Saccharomyces cerevisiae S288C: one gene and its partners. The protein of the gene in region 1 interacts with the protein of each later gene in a pairwise test. Each region holds a gene or a part of one and is shown in the gene's direction. Other genes may lie near its edges. The genes, in order: TYE7, MGA1, YAP6 and CCM1.

Region 1 (4,613 bases):
AATCATTCCACTAGACCACACGCCCATACAATTTGTGATTTCTCAAAGTTCAAGATGAAGTATTATAATTTTATATTCATTTTCCTCAGTCCCAAAAACGAATGGTTGAAGAGAACTGTTGGAATAAAAATCCACTATCGTCTATCAACTAATAGTTATACTATCAATATATTATCATATACGGTGTTAAGATGATGACACAAGTTATGAGAAGCTGTCATCGAAGTTAGAGGAAGCTGAAGTGCAAGGATTGATAATGTAATAGGATAATGAAACATATAAAACGGAATGAGGAATAATCGTAATATTGGTATATAGAAATATAGATTCCATTATGGGGATTCCTAGACCCTCGAGGAGAACTTCTAGTATATTCTGTATACCTAATATTATAGCCTTTATCAACAATGGAATCCCAACAATTATCTCAACATTCACCCATTTCTCAAGAACATTGTTGAAATGTAGCGCAATAAGTGGTGATTGATACCAACGTTTGCTGCTACGTTAGCAACCTAAACGCTTACACCAAATGTTTAAATTAGTATACTTTTCGAAAATTCGGTGGATATTAGAATAATTTTTAAGATCCTATTGATGATTAAAGCTATAATTGGGTAAAATAAGCATATTCTTGAAGTTCATTACTAAGATATAGAAATCAAGGAAAGGAAACCGATATTTCTACGTAACATTTATTATTTTTCCTTGCATTTTGTGTCGCGTTCTCTTTTATTTCTTTACATTATCAGTCCTTGTATTGCGGCATCCACTAAATCTGATGATTGTTTCTTAATTCCCATGTCATCTTTTTACACAGTATATAATAATATGCTGAATTATACGATATCAAATTTCTTTGGGTGCGATGTAGATGATTCAAATACTCAATAATTATGCATGAAAGAAATCCATTATTCTTGGCAGGAATGCCTCAGGGAATATGGGACCATGACAAGAGGCAACTTAATAGGCATTTACAACCTTTTGATTGAATAATCTAACTATGGGATATAAAGAAGCCTCTAAAAAATTAAATGCCGATAACCTTGATGATTTTCGTATGCTTATTTAATGCGGCTCCCGTCAGCGCCCTGCCGGGTAATATGATTCCCTTTCCAAGTAAGAAGAGCGACAGATAAGCGCGCTTGTATTCATCATACTGCCGCTATGCTGCTTTTCAGTCTGAAAATCGGATGTAATCTGAAAAGCGGATCTGTATTACGATATGATATGGGCAGCCTTTGTGGGTACGATGTCTAGAATTGAAACATTTTTTAATTATATTAATCTTATCGTTTACTTTTTCACATTCTTATCAGTAGGGCGAAACACTAAGAAAAGAGGAACCTCTTTGCGGCTTACGTAAAAAATGCACTAGCCATGTTTGGCACGTTCCCTGCTTGAACTGACATTAGGGGTCGAGCACGAGAGAAAGCCTATTGCCATCACGTGGCAAGCCAGCAATGATCAATTAACAACGCTAAAATCGGCGTATATGCAATGCCAATCCTACGATACTGTTGAAGTAAGGGGGAGGGCGCTAATACGACTCAGACTGACATGCCCTAGTTGTGCTACAAAATTGTCGTTTATGTTACAAACACGTGTAAGATAGTAAAATACCCTTCTTGGACATTCTATTATGCCAAAGCAAAAAAAAATCGGTGAAATAAACCTGTCTCAGTCTGGTTTAGGAAAAGAGACATCACCACACCATGCCAAATGCGGCAACTTCCTTAAACCGCGGTGTCGTAGAACCCATTCATCCTTGTGTATACGCTATGCTGGGCGGTACTTACCGGATCTGGCAGGCACCACATGGGTAGAGAATAAATGACGCACGCATCTGAATGTTACACCCAGAGGTATCCCGGAAAATCTTCCTTTTGAAACCGGAACAAGCTGACCTTGACTTTCACCCGCGGATACTGCTTAGCCCAGTTCCGGCCGTACACAAGCCCTTCTGGAGTGGGATTGAGCTCACTTCATTGCGCTGTTACTCCCCTAACAACGTGGCCTCTCTCCATTCGGTAAGGAATCAAATTTTGTTCTAGAATGTTCATGCTGCTGCGGTCATTTCTTACCCTAGTAGTAATTCATTGTGCCCACGTACGAACCGTACAATGGGATTCTGCCCTGCGCACGTTCACAGTTCGCCAAATAACAATTCTCATTTTCATTTCTTTTTCACAGTGTAGATGATACCGTGTCTGCGACATTTCCATTCTTAGTAGAAATGCAAAACGCAACGTTTGCTATTAATTTTTTTCACCTCTGTTTCCTTTTTTTTTCTCACCTCAACAATCAAATGTACTTATATAAACTTCTTTTGTTATCTCCAAAATTTAAACTTATTTACATCCTTTTTCACTTCATATATCAATTCATGGGAAAGTAAAGCTATCTTAATTACATCCTTATTTTATATTTCCCAACCATCAACCTTTATTCTTTACATATTTCTCTCTTTTCTCATTTTCTTTCTTATTAAGCGTAAAGCACCACAAGCAGTACCGATCTAAAGTCTCTCTACTTTACTATTATTTTTTTTTTTTGTTCACTTCATAAACTTTTAGTGCAAAAATAAAAATAAAGACAAATAACACACTATCAAATCTCTTCAAGTTTAACAATTATGAACTCTATTTTAGACAGAAATGTTAGATCTAGCGAAACTACTTTAATTAAACCTGAATCTGAATTTGATAATTGGTTGTCGGATGAAAATGACGGAGCTAGTCATATCAACGTCAACAAGGACTCCTCGTCAGTTCTTTCTGCATCTTCTTCCACATGGTTCGAACCATTGGAAAACATTATCTCCTCTGCATCCAGCTCCTCGATAGGCTCTCCAATCGAAGACCAGTTTATATCTTCCAACAACGAGGAATCTGCTCTTTTTCCAACAGATCAGTTTTTCAGTAATCCTTCCTCATACTCGCATTCTCCCGAGGTTAGCAGCTCGATAAAAAGAGAAGAGGATGACAATGCCCTTTCGTTGGCAGATTTTGAACCGGCTTCTTTGCAATTAATGCCTAACATGATAAATACTGATAATAATGACGATAGTACCCCACTTAAGAATGAAATCGAGCTAAACGACTCGTTTATAAAAACAAATCTAGATGCTAAGGAAACGAAAAAGAGGGCTCCAAGAAAAAGACTGACCCCCTTCCAAAAGCAAGCTCACAACAAGATTGAAAAACGCTACAGAATAAACATCAACACAAAGATTGCAAGACTGCAGCAGATTATCCCATGGGTAGCAAGTGAACAAACAGCTTTCGAAGTAGGTGATTCTGTAAAAAAACAGGACGAAGACGGCGCAGAAACTGCCGCTACTACTCCTCTTCCATCTGCCGCTGCTACAAGCACGAAGCTAAATAAAAGCATGATCCTAGAAAAAGCTGTTGACTATATTCTATATCTACAAAATAACGAACGACTATACGAAATGGAAGTTCAAAGGTTGAAAAGTGAAATCGACACTTTGAAACAAGACCAAAAATAAAAGCACGCTTGCTTAAACACCAATATTATAAAATTACGATAGAAATTCCTTTCTCCTCTTTTGTTTATGCGACATTTTTTTCTTTCTTAGCGAAGTACTTTAAAAAACAAGCCCAAAAAATAACAAGGCCATAACATAGCAGACAAGAATACAAAAAAAAAAAAGAAGTTGGAAAAAACATACAAAAAGATAAAAAAAAAAAATCCCCACTAAAGAAGGATGATAAATCGTGATGCGCACTTTTCATACCTTTTTCTTTTCTATTTCGTATTATTCAAAAAAAATTCTAATTTTATTCCTCCTTTATACACATTAATGACGCGTGGTTCATAGCCAAGAAAGCACAAGACATGACGAAATTCCGTTTCAGCTACGGACGGATATGTATGCCAAAACCGAAAAAATAAAAAAAAATCAATTTTTTTTATTTCAACAAACACATACACCTTAATGATTTATACGAACGAACTCTTCTCAAACTTTTCTCATTTATTTTATTTTATTATCTTATTACGGCCTTTTCTATTCATTACATTCACAACCCGTTATTATGTCACGCCATAACTAAACTAAGTACGAAACATATATTTACAGCATTATATTCTTAAAGAAGTTTTTTGGGCTTTTTGTATTCCCCCCTCTGATTGACGACAATTTGTTCGAAGCGAGATATTGGGCTGTCATATTAGCAAAAAAATATTGCTCCAGGGGAGGTTCGAACTCTCGACCTTCAGATTATGAGACTGACGCTCTTCCTACTGAGCTACTGAAGCGCACAAAATATCAAACGTGTTGTATTACGGGCTCGAGTAATACCAGATTCCTTGAAGTCTTGATATAAGCAGTTTTCGGAATTTCTAGTATATTCCTTATACATAATATTAAAGCTATCAGCAATGGAATCCCAACAATTATCTCAAATTCAACCAATTCTTACGAGTATGACTGTGTGGAGAATGTGGATTTTGATGTAATTGTTGGGATTCCATTGTGATTAAGGCTATAATATTAGGTATGTAGATATACTAGAAGTTCTCCTCGAGGATTTAGGAATCCATAAAAGGGAATCTGCAATTCTACACAATTCTATAAATATTAT
Region 2 (5,421 bases), on another chromosome or scaffold:
TCCAATCGATAAGGTCACACCAAACAGCAAAGAAAGGACGTAAGGGACAGGTATCCCATGCTGTTGCAGCTCCTTTGGTATCTTTCAATGGATGCAGTGTAGGTAAACAATATTTCAAGAAAATTGTGCTCGAGTGTAACAAGAACAAAATACTTTATGGGGTCGCACAAGTCATGAGAGAGATGTACGTAGAGATCGATCCTGAGACGCGAAGTAGCCGTGCCGCCACTTGGGTGCACGAGGAATTCCATCCTCACGTCTCATTGCTTTATTCGGATATTCATCCGGTAAGTCAGGCGTCATTGCGAGTAGTTCAACAAAGAATTGAAGATGCTCTAGACGTGCAACTAGTTCCAAGAGAGAAACGTAAGGGTTCCGGAAACGCTGATGGGTCCAATGAAGTGCAAATGAGATGGGATTTTGACGTATCTTCATCGCTATCTTGGAATATCCCAGGAACGTTTAAAGTGGTCAACTGTGTGGGGCCCGTTCAAGAATGGGAGGTATTGGGACGGGTGGACGTTTAAGCATACATTTATGTGCACTGTAAGTAATTATATAGAATTTTTTTTTTTTTTTTTTTTTTCATATCTGTCAATACTTGAAAATGTTCTAGTTAGAGATTTACGTATACTGATCGCTTGCCTTCGCAAGGGATGGAAATCCCTTGAAAATTAAAAAAATCCCCCCCTAAGCAGCGAAAATTGTAAGATCCATAATATTTAAGAAATGACGAAGAACGTAGTCTTATCGCAGCAGTTTTCCAAACAAAGAATGCCATTCATCAAATAATCCACAACCACCTCAAGAAAAATGGTGAAATTACAAAGGTTTAGCGAAAAGAAAAGCCTCATACACGAATTCGGCAAGTTTATCCTTGAAAAGCAAGAATCGGCGTTAACGGGCGACGCTGATGCAGTGTTCAATATCGCCATCAGTGGAGGATCGATGAACCAAGCGCTGTACGAAAGTTTGGTAAATGACAAAAACATTTTTCCACATATTAAGTGGCCACAATGGAGAATCTTCTTCTGTGACGAAAGATTGGTTCCATTTGAGGATCCGCAAAGTAACTATGGTCAGTTCAAAAAAACAGTTTTGGACCCGCTAGTGCATCAGGGCAACCAATTGAACTTAGGCCCCACTGTATACACTATCAACGAATCATTAATCGGTGGCGGTGAAACGGCCAATAGAAAGATTGCCGAAGAATACGCTTCCATGCTGCCTGCATCATTCGACCTAATCTTACTCGGATGCGGAGAAGATGGACATACATGCTCGTTGTTTCCCGGGGTTGAATTTAATTACCTTGTAGAAGAGATGGACCGCAAGGTTTTATGGTGTAATAATTCGCCCAAGGCACCCAAGGACAGGATCACCTTTACATTAGCAGTAGTAGCCGAGGCTAAAAGTGTGTGCTTTCTCGTTAGGGGAGCTGCTAAAAAGGCTATCATGCATGACGTGTTAATCGTAAAAAATAGCGAACTACCTAGTGTGCTGGTTAATGAAATGGTCGGAACCAAAGTAACTTGGTTTCTCGACGACGAAGCTGGCGCCTTGATTCCTGAAAACTGCTAATTACACTCGTCTTTATACGAAACTGGCTCCGTTAATCACGACAGACAACCTTAATTACATTACATAATAATAAATAAATGACAACTGTCTTCTTTACAGCGTATGTTGGAGCTTACTCCCGAAGCATAAACCCAGTTCTTCTAGAAGAATTGACAGCAGAAAGGAAAGGGGTACCGAAGGCAAACTCAACCTTAAAAGTTCCGTAAGCAACCGAGCCTCCGCGAAGGTTGCATAACTTAAAAGAAAAACATAGCTCACCCGGTGATACCGTTACAACGCGTTAATCTTAATGCTATGACTCGGAACCACCTGCAAAACAGCGCTAACGGAAATTTCCATGGAAATAGAATAAGGGACGCAGCAGGGTTTTTTTTTTTGGCGAGCACACGAAATATAAAATTGCTTCGGGCCAGCTGCATGGAAGGGTTAATTTCGCCCCTTTATCGCAAGCTACGCAGTTCTCCTGGCTCGAGAATGAATCTGGCCCGCCGCAGACGTTTCCTGGCCCCAGATTAGGAAGCAGCGGCGGCGGAACGGAAGGTGCTCTAAGCAAAATAAGGAATATTAGCCACGCCGGTAATTCCCCTCCTTTGGTCTGCCCCTGGTCTGCCCCTTTCGTTTTTTATTTTTTTTTGGGTGAACGGAATACTCCGTGGGCGGCACAAGGAGAGCCTGCGTAGGAATCTGTGCGTCTCAGTCGGGCGGGCCGATTTAGCACCGATGGTTCGCTTTGGCTTGGGCTTACGGTGACTGCGAGATTTGCAGATTAGTGCATATCCGCGCCTTTGTATGACGTGAAGCGATCCGCCCTGAACAACTTGTTACGTATATGATGTTGACTCTGCGCCCCCGTCTCTCTGGTTGCTGCCTTCTGCGCTGATTTGGTGCAATCTTTCTTTTTTGTCTTTGAAAGATTTAAGCTTTTTTTCGAGAAGAAAAAGGAGGAACCGAAAAAATAATCTTTCAGTTGTTGACCCGTAGAGCAGAAAATGGAAGGCAGTAGATATCCATATCGAAGGAAAAGCACAAACTTATCACGTTTAGGGTATTCATTAACGTTGAAGTAATCAGGTAGTGAATAGCTCGAAGTTTTCCATGCTTTCCTTTCGGTTGCATCTTTCTTCCTTTGGGGTTTTATCTTGATACGTCGTTACTTACCTTTTTTTCCAATATATATATATTGGTAGTAGCTGATCATTGCAGAAGATCTAGATCTCCTTTACACGCTTTAAGGTTAGGCAGCTGTAACCCCTATATTGAATTTTCACCCACGCCATAAAATACAATAGCTCAGAGAACCGGTGGCCACATGCAACCTAAAACTTTCGTCCACCAACTTCATGCAATTCTTCTGGAACCGGAAGTAAATAAATGGATATACTGGTCTCCGACTGATAACACGGTATTTTTTTTGAAGCCATATGACCCTAATTTTAGTACACATGTTCTGAAGCGTTATTTCAAACATGGAAATGTCAATAGTTTTGTTCGTCAACTACACATGTACGGGTTTCATAAACTATCTCATCCTTCCCCAGACCAATCTTCTGCCAACAATGGTAACGTTAAAGAACTTGTTGAATGGAAATTTACCCACCCATCTGGATTCTTCTTCAAAGAGGCCAACGCCGGTATCTTGAATAAAATCCAAAGAAAGAGCACTGGTGTGGGAAAAGATGGTAAAAGAAAGAATATACTGTCACCAATATCTGTCAGTTACGTTGATGCTTCGAGGTTAAATGTTCTCTCTCAGCAATCCGGACCAGTTTCTGCAAGAGAACCATCAAACATGTTTATGGGCAGTCCCGTCCATTACTCAACATCCCAAAGTCCTCCACATATCAGTATACCGCAACAGCAACAAAGTAGTGGACCTTACCTAATATCTTCACTGCCCCCTCAACAACCCACGGTGAACATGATGCGAAGGCAAAGCATCTCGGCGAGGATGATGAATTCTTATGACTATCCCAATCAATTTTCCACCCAAGATAGCATAGTCCAGCCTCAGCAGCCGCAACAAGTACTTTCTCCACAAGCATTATCTGGACCTCCGATGAAGAAATCAGGAACACTATCTTCGACAGATGATCTGAAAACAACTTCCTTGCCAATTGTTAATTACCCAATGCCGTATCATCCTGGAGCTTTTGCCCAGCAGCAGCAGCAGCAGCAGCAACCGCTCCCTACAGTCCCGCCATATAGCAGTTACTCCACTCCATTTCCCTCAATGATGAACTCTCTTTCGAACTCTGCTTCTAACTCACCTGCTTTAGGAGTTTGTAATAATAATGTAACACTACCCAAAAAAAGCAATATAAGTGAAAGGCAAGCTTTGGATAACCATATACAAACTTTAAAGAACTCTCTATCAACAATCACTGATTTGATAGAAAAACATATTAACAGCGCATCGCAAGATGAAAATAAAACTCTAACTAATGATGCCATGAACAAAGACCTTCGAACAAGCTTATCCCTATTACAGAATTCCAAGGAGGAAATCATTCAACTTGAAAGTAAATGGATGTCTATGCAATCTGTTAAAACAACTGCCCTACCCCTTCAAGAGACTACGAATACATCATCGACCTTAACTTCTCTGACGTCCAGCATAATTCCCAAGAGTATACCTATAATCACGAAAGGTGAAGTCGCCACTAAACCAGCATCTTACTGAATTATTTTCAACAGAACACATCGCATCCAACTGAACAAACTGTTACCGCTGTTGATACCAAGGAACATTCAGTGAACGTAGGGAAGAACGAACATTCTCCATATTTTTGCATACTAGATACAAGGGGGAAGAATGCAATTATTTCACAAACCGAAAGAAAAAGAATCACAAGCTATGTTTGCTATTATCAATTTTTCTTATGATTAATTTAACATAAATTATGGCCTTTTTCATTCCGGCTGCGCTTGTTCTCCAATTTTTTTTTTTTTTTTGAGAAAACTTTAAAAATTTCAAATGTAAGAAAGTAGAGCAGATCTTTTAGCAAGGATCCGCTTAACATTCCAACAAAAAAGGAAAAATAAAACAATAATTTCGTTCCCCATCTATCCTTCGCCTCTCCTTCGCTCTGTAATTTTTTTTACTCGCGCGCTTCCGACTTTTGAAAGAAGGAGCAATAAAGTTAAATAAATGTAATTAAATTATGCTTTTTTAGGCAAGTTCGGGACTTTGTTGCCACGTATTGCTCTTCTATGCAAGCACTTCACTCCTTTTCTTTCATCTCTGTTTTCTTCCACTGGCTGGAAGCTTGAGGGTTGCCTCTTGATTCTTTATCGCCTGCAACCATTGCCTTGTTCCGTCCTCTCAAGGCGTTCCTTCCGTGCTTTTTAAATACTAGAATCATTCGAGACGTATTTATGAGCATGTTACTTCTTGATGTTTATCTAAGAGGGTTGTTTAGGTTATCCGCATTATTTTTAAAGTTTTAAGGTTACATCATTTATTCAGACGCGTTCGGAGGAGAGTGCATTCACCAAGATGTAAATTTCTTCAGTTTTCCGGATTAGGATTGGAAAAATGAAGAAAAATAGCTGCAGAAGAGCCGAAAATAGGTCAGAAAAAAAAAAAGACAGGCAAAATAGGTGTAAGCGTTAAATGCCTATTGCCTGCTGTACTAGCTAGCTAAAGTAATTGTAGCAGTTGTTATTAAGGAGTTCTTTAAATCATATTGCTTGCTTGTATCAGACCATTGGAAACTTCAATGTTTAAACTCTAGAAAGGTTGATCTGCTCAAATATTTTCATATTTACGGCATGTCCTAACTTGAACATTTGTAGAAGAGAGACATATTTCTTAGTGTAGGCAAGATATTTGAATGACAT
Region 3 (4,983 bases), on another chromosome or scaffold:
TCGCCTTTGGAACTAAATATTTTACAAAACAAATTCGCCTCCTACTATGCAAACGACACTATCACCGTGAAAGGTATTACTATTGGCGGCTGGCTAGTAACAGAACCTTATATCACGCCATCATTATATCGTAATGCTACGTCACTGGCAAAACAGCAAAACTCTTCCAGCAATATCTCCATTGTCGACGAATTTACTCTTTGTAAAACCTTAGGATATAACACCTCTCTAACTTTATTGGATAATCACTTCAAAACTTGGATTACAGAGGATGATTTTGAACAAATCAAAACCAACGGTTTCAATTTAGTTAGGATCCCCATCGGATATTGGGCGTGGAAACAAAATACTGATAAAAACTTGTACATCGATAACATAACTTTCAATGATCCATACGTAAGTGATGGATTACAACTGAAATATTTAAATAATGCTCTCGAATGGGCGCAAAAGTACGAACTAAATGTATGGTTAGATCTACATGGTGCTCCTGGATCCCAGAATGGATTCGATAATTCCGGTGAAAGAATACTCTATGGCGATTTAGGCTGGTTAAGGTTGAATAATACTAAAGAACTGACTCTGGCTATTTGGAGAGATATGTTCCAGACATTTTTAAATAAAGGTGACAAAAGTCCTGTGGTGGGTATTCAAATCGTCAACGAACCGCTTGGTGGCAAAATCGATGTTTCAGACATAACGGAGATGTATTACGAAGCATTTGACTTGCTCAAGAAAAATCAGAATTCGAGTGACAACACTACGTTTGTTATTCATGACGGTTTTCAAGGAATCGGTCACTGGAACTTGGAGCTAAACCCAACCTACCAGAATGTATCGCATCATTATTTCAATTTGACTGGTGCAAATTACAGCTCTCAAGATATATTGGTCGACCATCATCATTATGAAGTGTTTACTGATGCGCAATTGGCCGAAACTCAGTTTGCACGTATTGAAAACATTATCAATTATGGGGACTCTATCCACAAAGAACTTTCTTTTCACCCAGCAGTAGTCGGAGAATGGTCAGGCGCTATTACTGATTGTGCAACCTGGCTAAATGGTGTTGGGGTGGGTGCACGTTACGATGGATCATACTACAATACAACGTTGTTTACCACCAACGACAAGCCAGTTGGAACATGTATATCCCAAAATAGCTTAGCTGATTGGACGCAAGATTACCGTGACCGTGTGAGACAATTCATTGAGGCACAGCTAGCCACTTATTCGTCAAAAACAACGGGATGGATTTTTTGGAATTGGAAGACCGAAGACGCCGTAGAATGGGATTATTTGAAGCTAAAAGAAGCTAACCTTTTCCCTTCCCCTTTCGACAACTACACGTACTTCAAAGCAGATGGATCTATCGAAGAAAAATTCTCATCCTCTTTATCAGCACAGGCATTTCCAAGAACAACGTCATCGGTTTTGTCCTCCACTACGACTTCCAGGAAGAGTAAGAATGCTGCAATTTCTAATAAACTAACAACTTCGCAGCTATTACCAATCAAAAATATGAGTTTGACCTGGAAAGCGAGCGTATGCGCACTCGCTATCACCATTGCCGCTCTTTGCGCTTCTCTTTAAAGTAAACGGCAACAGTGTGGTGCGTTTAATGGTGCTAATTATATATACACTTTTCATTATATTATTATAGATACTCAGAACGTAGGCACTATGTAGAAAAGCACCCAAAGTTCGAAATATCATATGATATACTTCTATGCATGTCGTAGAAAAAGACAACAATCTGAATTGCAACCTCAAAAAAAAAAATCTTAGTACTACATCATATTTGTGCCGTGGCCTAGCTGTATCGTGAGAGAAGGGAGAATAATATCAGAGAAGTGGGGTGAGCAAAGTATAACAACCACGATTATGAGTTCAAGTTCTTATAGGGATTCATATTTTCAATACCGCCATTTACCAGCACCACATCACATATTATATGCGGAATGGAATCAAGATATACTGGCGCTTCCGGACGAAGTGGCAAATATTACAATGGCTATGAAAGATAATACTCGCACCGACGCGGAGGAGGGAAGAGCTCCCCAAGATGGGGAAAGGAATTCTAATGTACGCGAGAGCGCTCAAGGTAAGGCATTAATGACAAGTGAACAAAATAGCAACCGCTACTGGAACTCTTTTCATGATGAAGACGATTGGAATCTATTCAATGGCATGGAACTGGAGAGTAATGGAGTAGTGACGTTTGCTGGACAGGCGTTCGATCATTCTTTAAACGGGGGAACCAATTCCAGGAACGACGGTGCCAATGAGCCAAGAAAAGAAACGATAACTGGTTCTATTTTTGATAGGCGCATCACACAATTGGCGTACGCAAGAAATAACGGTTGGCACGAACTGGCTCTCCCACAGTCACGATGAGCAGAACGTGACGTATATGCTGATCATTAGTCAGAAATTGTGGTGTATGGGTACTATGCACAGCCGTTGAGACTAGACTATTGTGTGAGAAATTTTTTTAAAGCAAAACAGTGGCGTAAAATCCACGGAACAAAATAACACCCAAAACAGTTGTACTGCTTTGTTTACTTTCGAGAAAGGCATTTTTTTCTCGGTTTGTTTCCGGCGAAATGATTTTTGGCGCTTTAGATAGATCCGGCTAGTTTTTCGGCGGGGGATAGGCGGTGTTTATATGGGCTGATTTATAGCATGTTAAATTTTTTTTCCGTACTTCATTTAAGTTAAAGTTATTCGCTGCTTGCTGCATCTGCGGAATTGTAATAGCGAATTTAAGAAAGAGCGTACCCGTTTTTGTTTTTTTAGCTAATGCCCCTTTGCATTATGCCGAAGGGTAGAAACTTTGTTCAAGATTATGCTTTCTTTGTAATTTTAAACATAGTCTTGCACTTATTTTTACTGCATGTGGATAAAAGTTTTTCGAATCGTTTGCAGGCAAATGTAAACTATTACTTTTTAATGATTTCTGATACTCTTTGATTCCATTCTGTCATACTTTTTTCTGCATTTGAAACGCTAATTAAGTATTTCTTGGCCCTGCTTCTTTTCCTTTTGATTTCTTTTTTTATTCTCAAGTTTTTAATTTCTGGAGAATCTCTTTTTTTGTTTATTTTGTTAACACAGTTAGTGGAGCCTTGTAGTATCGAGAGTAGACTATCTTTGGAAAGCAATGCGAGTTGAGAGATTGTGGAGTGTACTACAGAACCAATATTAAACACAATCTTTCCTCAAACTGTAACACCGAGTTTTTTTCCCCACCAATCGTGAATCCGATAGCATATACTTTTGTCTAGAAATTTCAATAAACAACAGAATAACGAAGAGTGCTAAGGGACAAATGCAAAACCCTCCGTTGATTCGTCCCGATATGTATAATCAGGGAAGCAGCTCAATGGCTACTTATAATGCCTCTGAGAAGAATCTAAATGAGCATCCTTCTCCGCAAATTGCACAGCCCAGCACGTCCCAAAAGTTACCTTATAGAATAAATCCTACAACCACTAATGGGGACACCGACATATCTGTTAACAGCAATCCTATCCAGCCTCCTTTGCCAAACTTGATGCATCTATCTGGTCCGTCTGACTATAGATCGATGCATCAAAGTCCTATACATCCATCTTATATCATCCCTCCGCATTCAAATGAAAGAAAACAATCAGCTTCTTACAACAGACCTCAAAATGCTCATGTTAGTATTCAACCTTCCGTGGTATTCCCCCCTAAAAGTTATTCCATATCTTATGCACCTTATCAAATAAATCCCCCTTTACCAAATGGACTTCCGAACCAGAGCATATCTTTGAATAAGGAGTATATTGCAGAGGAGCAACTATCAACCCTCCCATCTCGCAATACCAGTGTTACTACTGCACCTCCTTCTTTTCAAAACAGTGCTGATACCGCTAAAAATTCAGCTGATAATAATGATAATAATGATAATGTAACCAAACCTGTTCCTGATAAAGACACCCAACTCATAAGTAGTTCAGGCAAAACTTTAAGAAATACTAGAAGAGCTGCTCAAAATAGAACCGCTCAAAAGGCATTTAGACAAAGGAAAGAAAAATACATCAAGAATCTCGAACAAAAATCAAAGATATTTGACGATTTACTAGCAGAAAATAATAACTTCAAATCATTAAACGATTCATTAAGAAATGACAACAACATTTTAATAGCTCAGCATGAAGCTATAAGGAATGCAATTACTATGTTAAGAAGTGAGTATGATGTCTTATGTAACGAAAACAACATGTTGAAGAATGAGAATAGTATAATAAAAAATGAACACAACATGTCAAGAAATGAAAATGAAAACCTAAAACTTGAGAATAAACGCTTCCACGCTGAATATATACGAATGATCGAGGATATTGAAAATACTAAAAGAAAGGAACAAGAACAACGAGATGAAATAGAGCAACTAAAAAAAAAAATAAGATCCCTGGAGGAAATAGTAGGGAGACACTCGGATAGTGCCACGTAATACAATAAATAGGGAGCAGATATTGATCTCTAGTACTGGAAGATCAACTTTTTGCTTTGGCCTTATAGGTCATATAAATTTTAATAATTAATGTAACAGACAAATCAAGGTGTGATTCTGTTCTGATAAAATTTGTTATTTTCCAGAATGTTCTAGAAGTGTTCTTTCATCTAATGGCATCGCGTTTGAATAGGGGGTGCACGGACTTTTTTTTTTGAATAAACCCCTGTGATTCATTGTATCTAAGCTCATCAAACCCCCTAGTTACTGACTCACGCACACACATATATATACATATATATGCATATGTAAGCATGAAAAGTTTGACTTCTATTATCTATTCCAGGAACCCTGAAACAAGCGAGTGAAAATCTTTCAAGGTTAAATATGTTAAGACAAGCTACAAAAGCACCAATACAAAAATATTTACAGAGAACGCAACTATTAAGGCGAAGTACTCCACGAATATACACTATTGTACAGTGTAAAAGATCTATTTG
Region 4 (6,731 bases), on another chromosome or scaffold:
GAAAAAAGTAAAGTAGAGCTCGATCTCGAAAAAAAGAACCATTGCGTTCGTTCTTAACTACGCCAAGAAGTTTTTGAAATTTCATCCTCTCCACTGAACAATAATACTATTATTTAGTAACGATATAGAACATTTACATACAACGTTCTAATATTTTGGCTTCTATCATCGCTTAGAAATATTTGGCTAGGAAACATTAGGACTAATGAGAGACTATAAATTAGTAGTATTGGGTGCTGGTGGTGTCGGTAAATCCTGCTTAACCGTGCAGTTTGTACAGGGAGTTTATTTGGATACGTATGATCCAACGATCGAAGATTCTTACAGGAAAACCATCGAGATCGATAACAAGGTATTCGACCTGGAAATTTTAGATACAGCGGGTATAGCACAATTTACTGCAATGAGAGAATTATACATAAAGTCAGGAATGGGGTTCCTGTTGGTATATTCAGTAACAGATCGGCAATCTTTGGAAGAATTAATGGAGCTAAGAGAACAGGTCCTTAGGATCAAAGATTCCGATCGCGTTCCAATGGTTCTAATAGGTAACAAGGCTGATCTAATCAATGAAAGGGTAATAAGTGTGGAAGAAGGTATAGAGGTAAGCAGTAAATGGGGTAGAGTTCCCTTTTATGAAACAAGCGCTTTGTTGAGGAGCAATGTGGATGAAGTGTTCGTTGATTTAGTTAGGCAAATCATTCGGAATGAAATGGAAAGTGTTGCAGTTAAAGACGCAAGAAATCAAAGTCAACAATTTAGCAAAATCGAGTCTCCATCAACCAGGCTCCCTAGTTCTGCGAAACAGGATACGAAACAATCAAACAATAAGCAATCATCAAAAGGTTTATATAACAAATCTTCACAAGGACAAGCTAAAGTTAAACAATCTACTCCGGTTAATGAAAAGCACAAACCGTCACATGCCGTTCCGAAATCTGGTTCTAGCAACAGGACAGGAATTAGCGCTACTTCACAACAAAAGAAAAAGAAGAAAAACGCTTCCACTTGCACTATTCTATAGTCACTTAATTTTATTATAAATGAATCAAGATATCAGATAAAAAGACTTTACTTGAAATAGTTTTATTATAGTTCTAAAAGGTTTAGTTTAAAGTATTAGCATACGTTGTATAAGTTTTTAAAGAAATCAATTAATAATGTTTGAAAATAAATTTAAACCCAAAAAAAATGAAATGTTAAAAATATGGACGCAACCGGAATCGAACCGATGACCTCTTCCTTGCAAGGGAAGCGCGCTACCAACTGCGCCATGTGCCCGCAATCTATGGGATTTTACGGTAGATGCTGCGTTACGTATAAAAAATATTAAATGAACAGATCCACACTCTCGTAACTAAAGCTCACACTGTAGTTTCTTATAGTTTATGTTGATTGATATAATTAATTCAGAGGGTCTTTAGTCTCAGATATACTTCGCAATTACTTAAAAGAGTAATCGTTAATGTTTTCCCTCCAACATAGTCGTTATCGTTTAGCGTGCGTTATCAAGTTTCAACGATGACAAAATGATTGATTAATTAGTCCATTTTTCTTTCCTATCTAGTAAAATCAAAGTGTTTCTTCTCAACCTGAGATCTAACTCACTGTATTGATATTGAAAATCTGAGTAGTCTTCTAAAAAGCACAGAAATTAGGCCGATGTTTTCGACTTCATATCTCGTCGTGAGGCTGTTTCGCACGCCTTTTATTTGTTTAGATCGGACATTTAGGGTGATTCATATCAGGTCATATTGCGGCATCTCATCTCAAGAATAAAATAGAATTACTGTGTTTGACAATGGTCTATCGTCCACTGATGGAACAAAAGTCGGGAGCAATTCTTGTAAATGGAAGAATACAAAATGGCCACCAGTAGCGGTGAAAATGGTTTAGTAGTCATCCCTCCTTTAATACGAAACATTCAGTGGGTCTCCGTGAACGTCTCTATTCTATTTTCGATAATCGATCCACTGACTCTCAGGCGCTTCTTATATTATCTTTCTCGATATTATAAATCAGCCGATACAGGGTTACACCAAGTGTCTTTACATAATCCTGACTATCATGACCTACTTCCAATCTTATCATCTAAATGACTGTACATTCGTTCTTCTCTCATAATGCTTGCTTGCTTGTGAAAAATGGGTGAATAATTGCATTATTGTTGGGATTCCACTGTTGATAAAGATCACATATAACATTATGGATAAGGAATATACTAGAAACTCTCCTCCAGAACATAGCGCCCACAAAAGGGAATCGATATCTCTACATAATGCTATTATTTTTTCTTCCTTGTCGCACATTATCTTACTTCATCATCAATCCTCGTGTCTCTGCTTACATTAAGTTTGATGACCGTTTCTCAATCTTTATGACATCTTCTTACACAGTGTATTGCAAAGTACTAGTAATATGAATTCAAATCGATCGATGGTAACTGATTCTTATTGCAAAAGATCTGCCTTGCTCTAACCTTTTTTCTGAGATAGAGAGTTAGCTCTACTTCCACACCAATATCTGAGCGTCGGACAGGATTGTGAAAAATTGGAGGCATAAAATGTAAAAGCAAAGCCATAGTCCATAGTGCACAGGAAAATAGCATTGTTTCACAAGTCCTAACAGATAGATAAATATAAACATGTACATGGCCAGATGTGGCCCCAAGAATAATGTGCTGTGTTTCCCATTTCAACTTTCCTTTCTATTTTCAAAACGACTAATAAATAAGCGTTTCAAGTATACCCTACAAACTGAAGATGAAAAGAATATGATGGGGAGTTTAAGTAAAAATAAAATAATAACACCTGAAGACGTTGAGTTCAAATTAGCACAATTACGAGAATTTTCTAATACTTTAAAAGAACGCATTCACAACACTAAATCGGTGAATTCAGATGGCCACCAAAGCAATAGTATCGCACCAATCTCAGAAGACTCAAGGAATGTTAATGTCACCAAAACATCATCTGTTCCTAATGAAGAAAAATCCAAAAATCTATCAGATTTGATTCATTCTTCGTTTTTAGAAAAAATGGATCACCTCGTACCAAAAGTTATAAGAGAAAGAGTAGCAGACGACGACATACTTGCAAAAAACCTTTTTGATAGATCACACAGTAATTGGGCACCTGTCATAGATAGGCTTTATGTCAGTGAGAAACGGTTCATGGATATTGATTCCAGAGAATTTTCTGTTTGGTTAAATGGTACAGTCAAATATTTGCCATTTCATAGTATACTACACTTGGATGAAATGCTATTAGAACAAATCAATGGAGATGTTGTAAAATTTAATACCCACATGTACGAATGTATCTTTAACAACTTAGGAAATTTAAAACCAACTAATTTTAATCAGGATGGTACTAACGATAAAGTTATCCTCAAAATGAAAGAGTTGTTAGAGAGGTATGATAAGGCATTAAAAATAACTGAAGAAAGAATTAACAAAAAAGAAGGATTCCCTTCCAAAGTACCAAAGATGACGCAAGCAATACTTAATAATTGTTTAAAATACTCGACCAAGTGTTCAAGCTTTCACGACATGGATTATTTTATTACAAAATTCAGAGATGATTATGGCATAACTCCTAATAAGCAAAACCTAACTACTGTAATACAATTCTACTCTAGGAAGGAAATGACTAAGCAAGCCTGGAATACTTTTGACACCATGAAATTTTTATCTACAAAGCATTTCCCTGATATCTGCACATATAACACAATGCTGCGAATATGCGAGAAGGAACGGAATTTTCCTAAGGCTTTGGATTTATTTCAAGAAATTCAAGACCACAATATAAAGCCTACAACAAACACTTACATAATGATGGCAAGAGTGTTGGCTTCTTCGAGCAGTAATGCCGTTGTCAGTGAGGGTAAATCAGACTCTCTAAGATTACTGGGATGGAAATACCTTCATGAGTTGGAGGACAAGAATCTTTACAGACATAAAAAAGATGACTTAAATTTATTTTTGGCTATGATGGCATTAGCCGCGTTTGATGGTGATATTGAATTAAGTAGAGCTCTATATTACTTGTTCATCGCGAAAAAGTACAAAACTTTGTGCGCAAATTGGAAAGGAAACATTCTCGTAGATCAAGATACAATTTGGAAGTCAACTTTAATGCCAGAAATGCTGAATTATTTGATGCTTGCTTATGCAAGATTTGATCCCAGAAATTTGCCAGTCTTATCCGGTTATGAAAAAGGCATTGAATTGAGAAGAAAATTTCTTCGCGAATTTGATTCCTCCATGAGGTTAGATGATACAGACAAATTGGTCAAATTTAAATTACCATTTCTTCCAATTAGTGACCTAAATTCGGAGGCACAAGTATTGGCGGAATCTAACGCAATCTGGAGTTTCAATATGGAAAATGGAGGAACGCGCAATACATTGACATCTTCAAATGAAGCGGCGTTGGAGGATATCAAAAAATATAGGCAATTACTTGATTCGTTTGCGCAAGAAGCAGAGGATTTCAACGAGTTTAAGTTTAAAGTTATGTACGAAGTGACGAAAATGCAAAGAGAAAGTATTAATGTGAACGTCTTCAATAAAATTTCACTACACACATATTTGTCAATTCCCATTAACTTAAAACAACAGAAGGAATTCTTGCGAAGGTTGACGTTCTTCACTTTCCAACAACACGAATTTGAAGCTGTCATAAAGCGTTTGTATGAAGGATACCGTAATATTCCTTCGTCCCATACGCGTGACCAAAATTCAATATCAACTGAAGCCATCTCAGTATCCAAACCTGAGACCACGGAAGACCTCAACTTAATAATGCATGATATATGGTATATTACATGTTTGAGGCACAAAATCATGATGGACACCACGTTATATGAGCTGGTGATGAAAGCCGCTATAGAATTTCAAAATGAGGACTTAGCAAAGAAAGTATGGAATGATAGGGGTAAATTTAGGACGACTGTACCGTTTCTGAAAATGGACCAAAGAATAAGAATAGCAAAGGATCAGAAATTTGCCCATCTAATGGTTGAATTCTTCACAAAGCAAGGAAAGTATTCGGACGCAATAGCTATCATATTGTCTTCAAAAAATCGCTTCAATTGGACTTATTCCATGGTTAGGAATTTGCATAAAGCATTAGAAGAAATCGAGGATAGAAATAGCGTTGAAATCTTACTGGATGTAGTAAACAAAAAGTCACACGCAAAGGCCCTGAAGTGGGAGGAACAAGAACTTAACATGTAGTCATTAGACTAAAAGTGATTATATATCAAGAAACGACATATACGCGTCCATGCATGCACATATATATATATAGTAAAGCGCCTGTAAATAAAAGCTCTCAAAGTTAACAGATAAATGAAGTGAACTATCTTAATCACTCTTTGAGGATACACTTGAAGAGTCGTCAAAATCTTCGTCACGGTTGACATTCAAGTAATCCTTATCATTCACGGAGGCATCAGATATGACTGCATCAGAATCAGGCTGTAACTTTTGTTGTAAATTCTCAACTTCAAGACGTAATCTATCAACTTCTTTTTCGAAATTCTTCCCGTAGTGGTCGATATAGTAGGTAGCCCCATTATGAGACGCCCATAGAAATACTATAGTTAAAAATAGGGCCGCAGCTAATTTGTAACGAATCCATATGCCACACAATAGCATAGTGAATAGTTGATAGAAATATTGAGAAAGTGTGTAAATTATCATCGGCCAAGGTGACCTTAATTTAACTGCCCAAAAGTTTTTAAATTGGTGTGTGGTTAAATATTCAAAACTTGTCATTCTTTCCCCTGACTTGATCTTGCTAGACTTTTTCAACGTGATGAAGTAATGGTATAATGATTGCCAAACCAAATAATAAAGGGATGTCCAAAGAATATTTTTTTTGATGTCCAATTCACTTTGAATAATTGCTCCCGGAAACCTTTCGATTTTGTATTCGAGTGGTAATCCATGATAGATGACGTACATGACACAGGGAGGTATTATGTGAATGAAGCATGAAGTAGTCTTATCTATAGAATGTATTACCAAGGAATTTCTCCAAGTAATAACGGCAAAGCATAACGTTCCGAAAGTGAATGCAAAACATGACTGGAAAAGGCTGTATGAATATGGGAAAATCCAAATAAACAATAGGCATAGCATGTTCACAAAGTAACAAAAATCAGCCAGAAAGTAGTGGTTTTTGGTTTTATAGTATGTGTAAAAACGTATGGGCATCAGAACGAAGAACAGGATGGTATAGTAAACATGAAACCATTCTGGAAACCTGCCCATCAAAAATCCGATGAAAAATATATTAAACAGTGTGAAAGGGTAAAATGCTTTCTCCAACCTTGAGCTGTTTTTGAAAAAAATGGAATCCAAGGGTTTATCCAGATTCCTAATTCTTTGTAACGCTCTTACTTTGAAGTCCTCTAATTGCAAGAAAGAGCGACTTCTATTCAGGTGATGTGGATGATGACTATCATGTTCATGATGGGGTTTACGTCTTCTAAAACCCTCAAAATTTCGCAATTTCTGTTCTGCTTTCGAAAGATGAGAACCATGGTAGTATTTTGAAACTACTTTTGAAGCGATCGGGTCGAGAAATTCTAAAAGGCTCGTCAGTGAAACAGAGTTATTCGTTTCATCGTCAATGTCGTTATTGTCCAACTTGTACATTACGATAAAGATAGCGATGAGTGCCACTCTAAATGGTATCACAATGTGGAGATAATTTTTTGTT

What was found.
Region 2: the proteins of TYE7 (region 1) and MGA1 interact in a two-hybrid assay, tested with the Saccharomyces cerevisiae proteins (one large-scale study listed by BioGRID).
Region 3: the proteins of TYE7 (region 1) and YAP6 interact in a two-hybrid assay, tested with the Saccharomyces cerevisiae proteins (one large-scale study listed by BioGRID).
Region 4: the proteins of TYE7 (region 1) and CCM1 interact in a two-hybrid assay, tested with the Saccharomyces cerevisiae proteins (one large-scale study listed by BioGRID).

The regions. Positions count from the first base shown.
Region 1 is NC_001147.6:976,095-980,707, reverse strand, and holds TYE7 (Tye7p), read left to right. Parts: upstream 1-2,638; coding exon 2,639-3,514; downstream 3,515-4,613. UniProt on the Saccharomyces cerevisiae protein: Transcriptional activator of glycolytic gene expression, such as enolase genes (ENO1 and ENO2), glyceraldehyde-3-phosphate dehydrogenase gene (TDH), phosphoglycerate kinase (PGK1), phosphoglycerate mutase (PGM1), pyruvate kinase (PYK1) and triosephosphate isomerase (TPI1) genes.
Region 2 is NC_001139.9:985,159-990,579, forward strand, and holds MGA1 (Mga1p), read left to right. Parts: upstream 1-2,890; coding exon 2,891-4,261; downstream 4,262-5,421. Other genes in the region: CPD1 (2',3'-cyclic-nucleotide 3'-phosphodiesterase), read left to right, coding at 1-527; 6-phosphogluconolactonase SOL4, read left to right, coding at 814-1,581.
Region 3 is NC_001136.10:974,131-979,113, reverse strand, and holds YAP6 (Yap6p), read left to right. Parts: upstream 1-3,331; coding exon 3,332-4,483; downstream 4,484-4,983. Other genes in the region: EXG2 (glucan exo-1,3-beta-glucosidase), read left to right, coding at 1-1,593; SWM1 (Swm1p), read left to right, coding at 1,885-2,397; chaperone ATPase HSP78, read left to right, coding at 4,871-4,983. UniProt on the Saccharomyces cerevisiae protein: Transcription activator involved in the regulation of genes expressed in response to environmental changes and metabolic requirements.
Region 4 is NC_001139.9:788,967-795,697, reverse strand, and holds CCM1 (Ccm1p), read left to right. Parts: upstream 1-2,644; coding exon 2,645-5,239; downstream 5,240-6,731. Other genes in the region: Ras family GTPase RSR1, read left to right, coding at 206-1,024; GPC1 (glycerophosphocholine acyltransferase), read right to left, coding at 5,369-6,667. UniProt on the Saccharomyces cerevisiae protein: Regulates mitochondrial small subunit maturation by controlling 15S rRNA 5'-end processing. Localizes to the 5' precursor of the 15S rRNA in a position that is subsequently occupied by mS47 in the mature yeast mtSSU.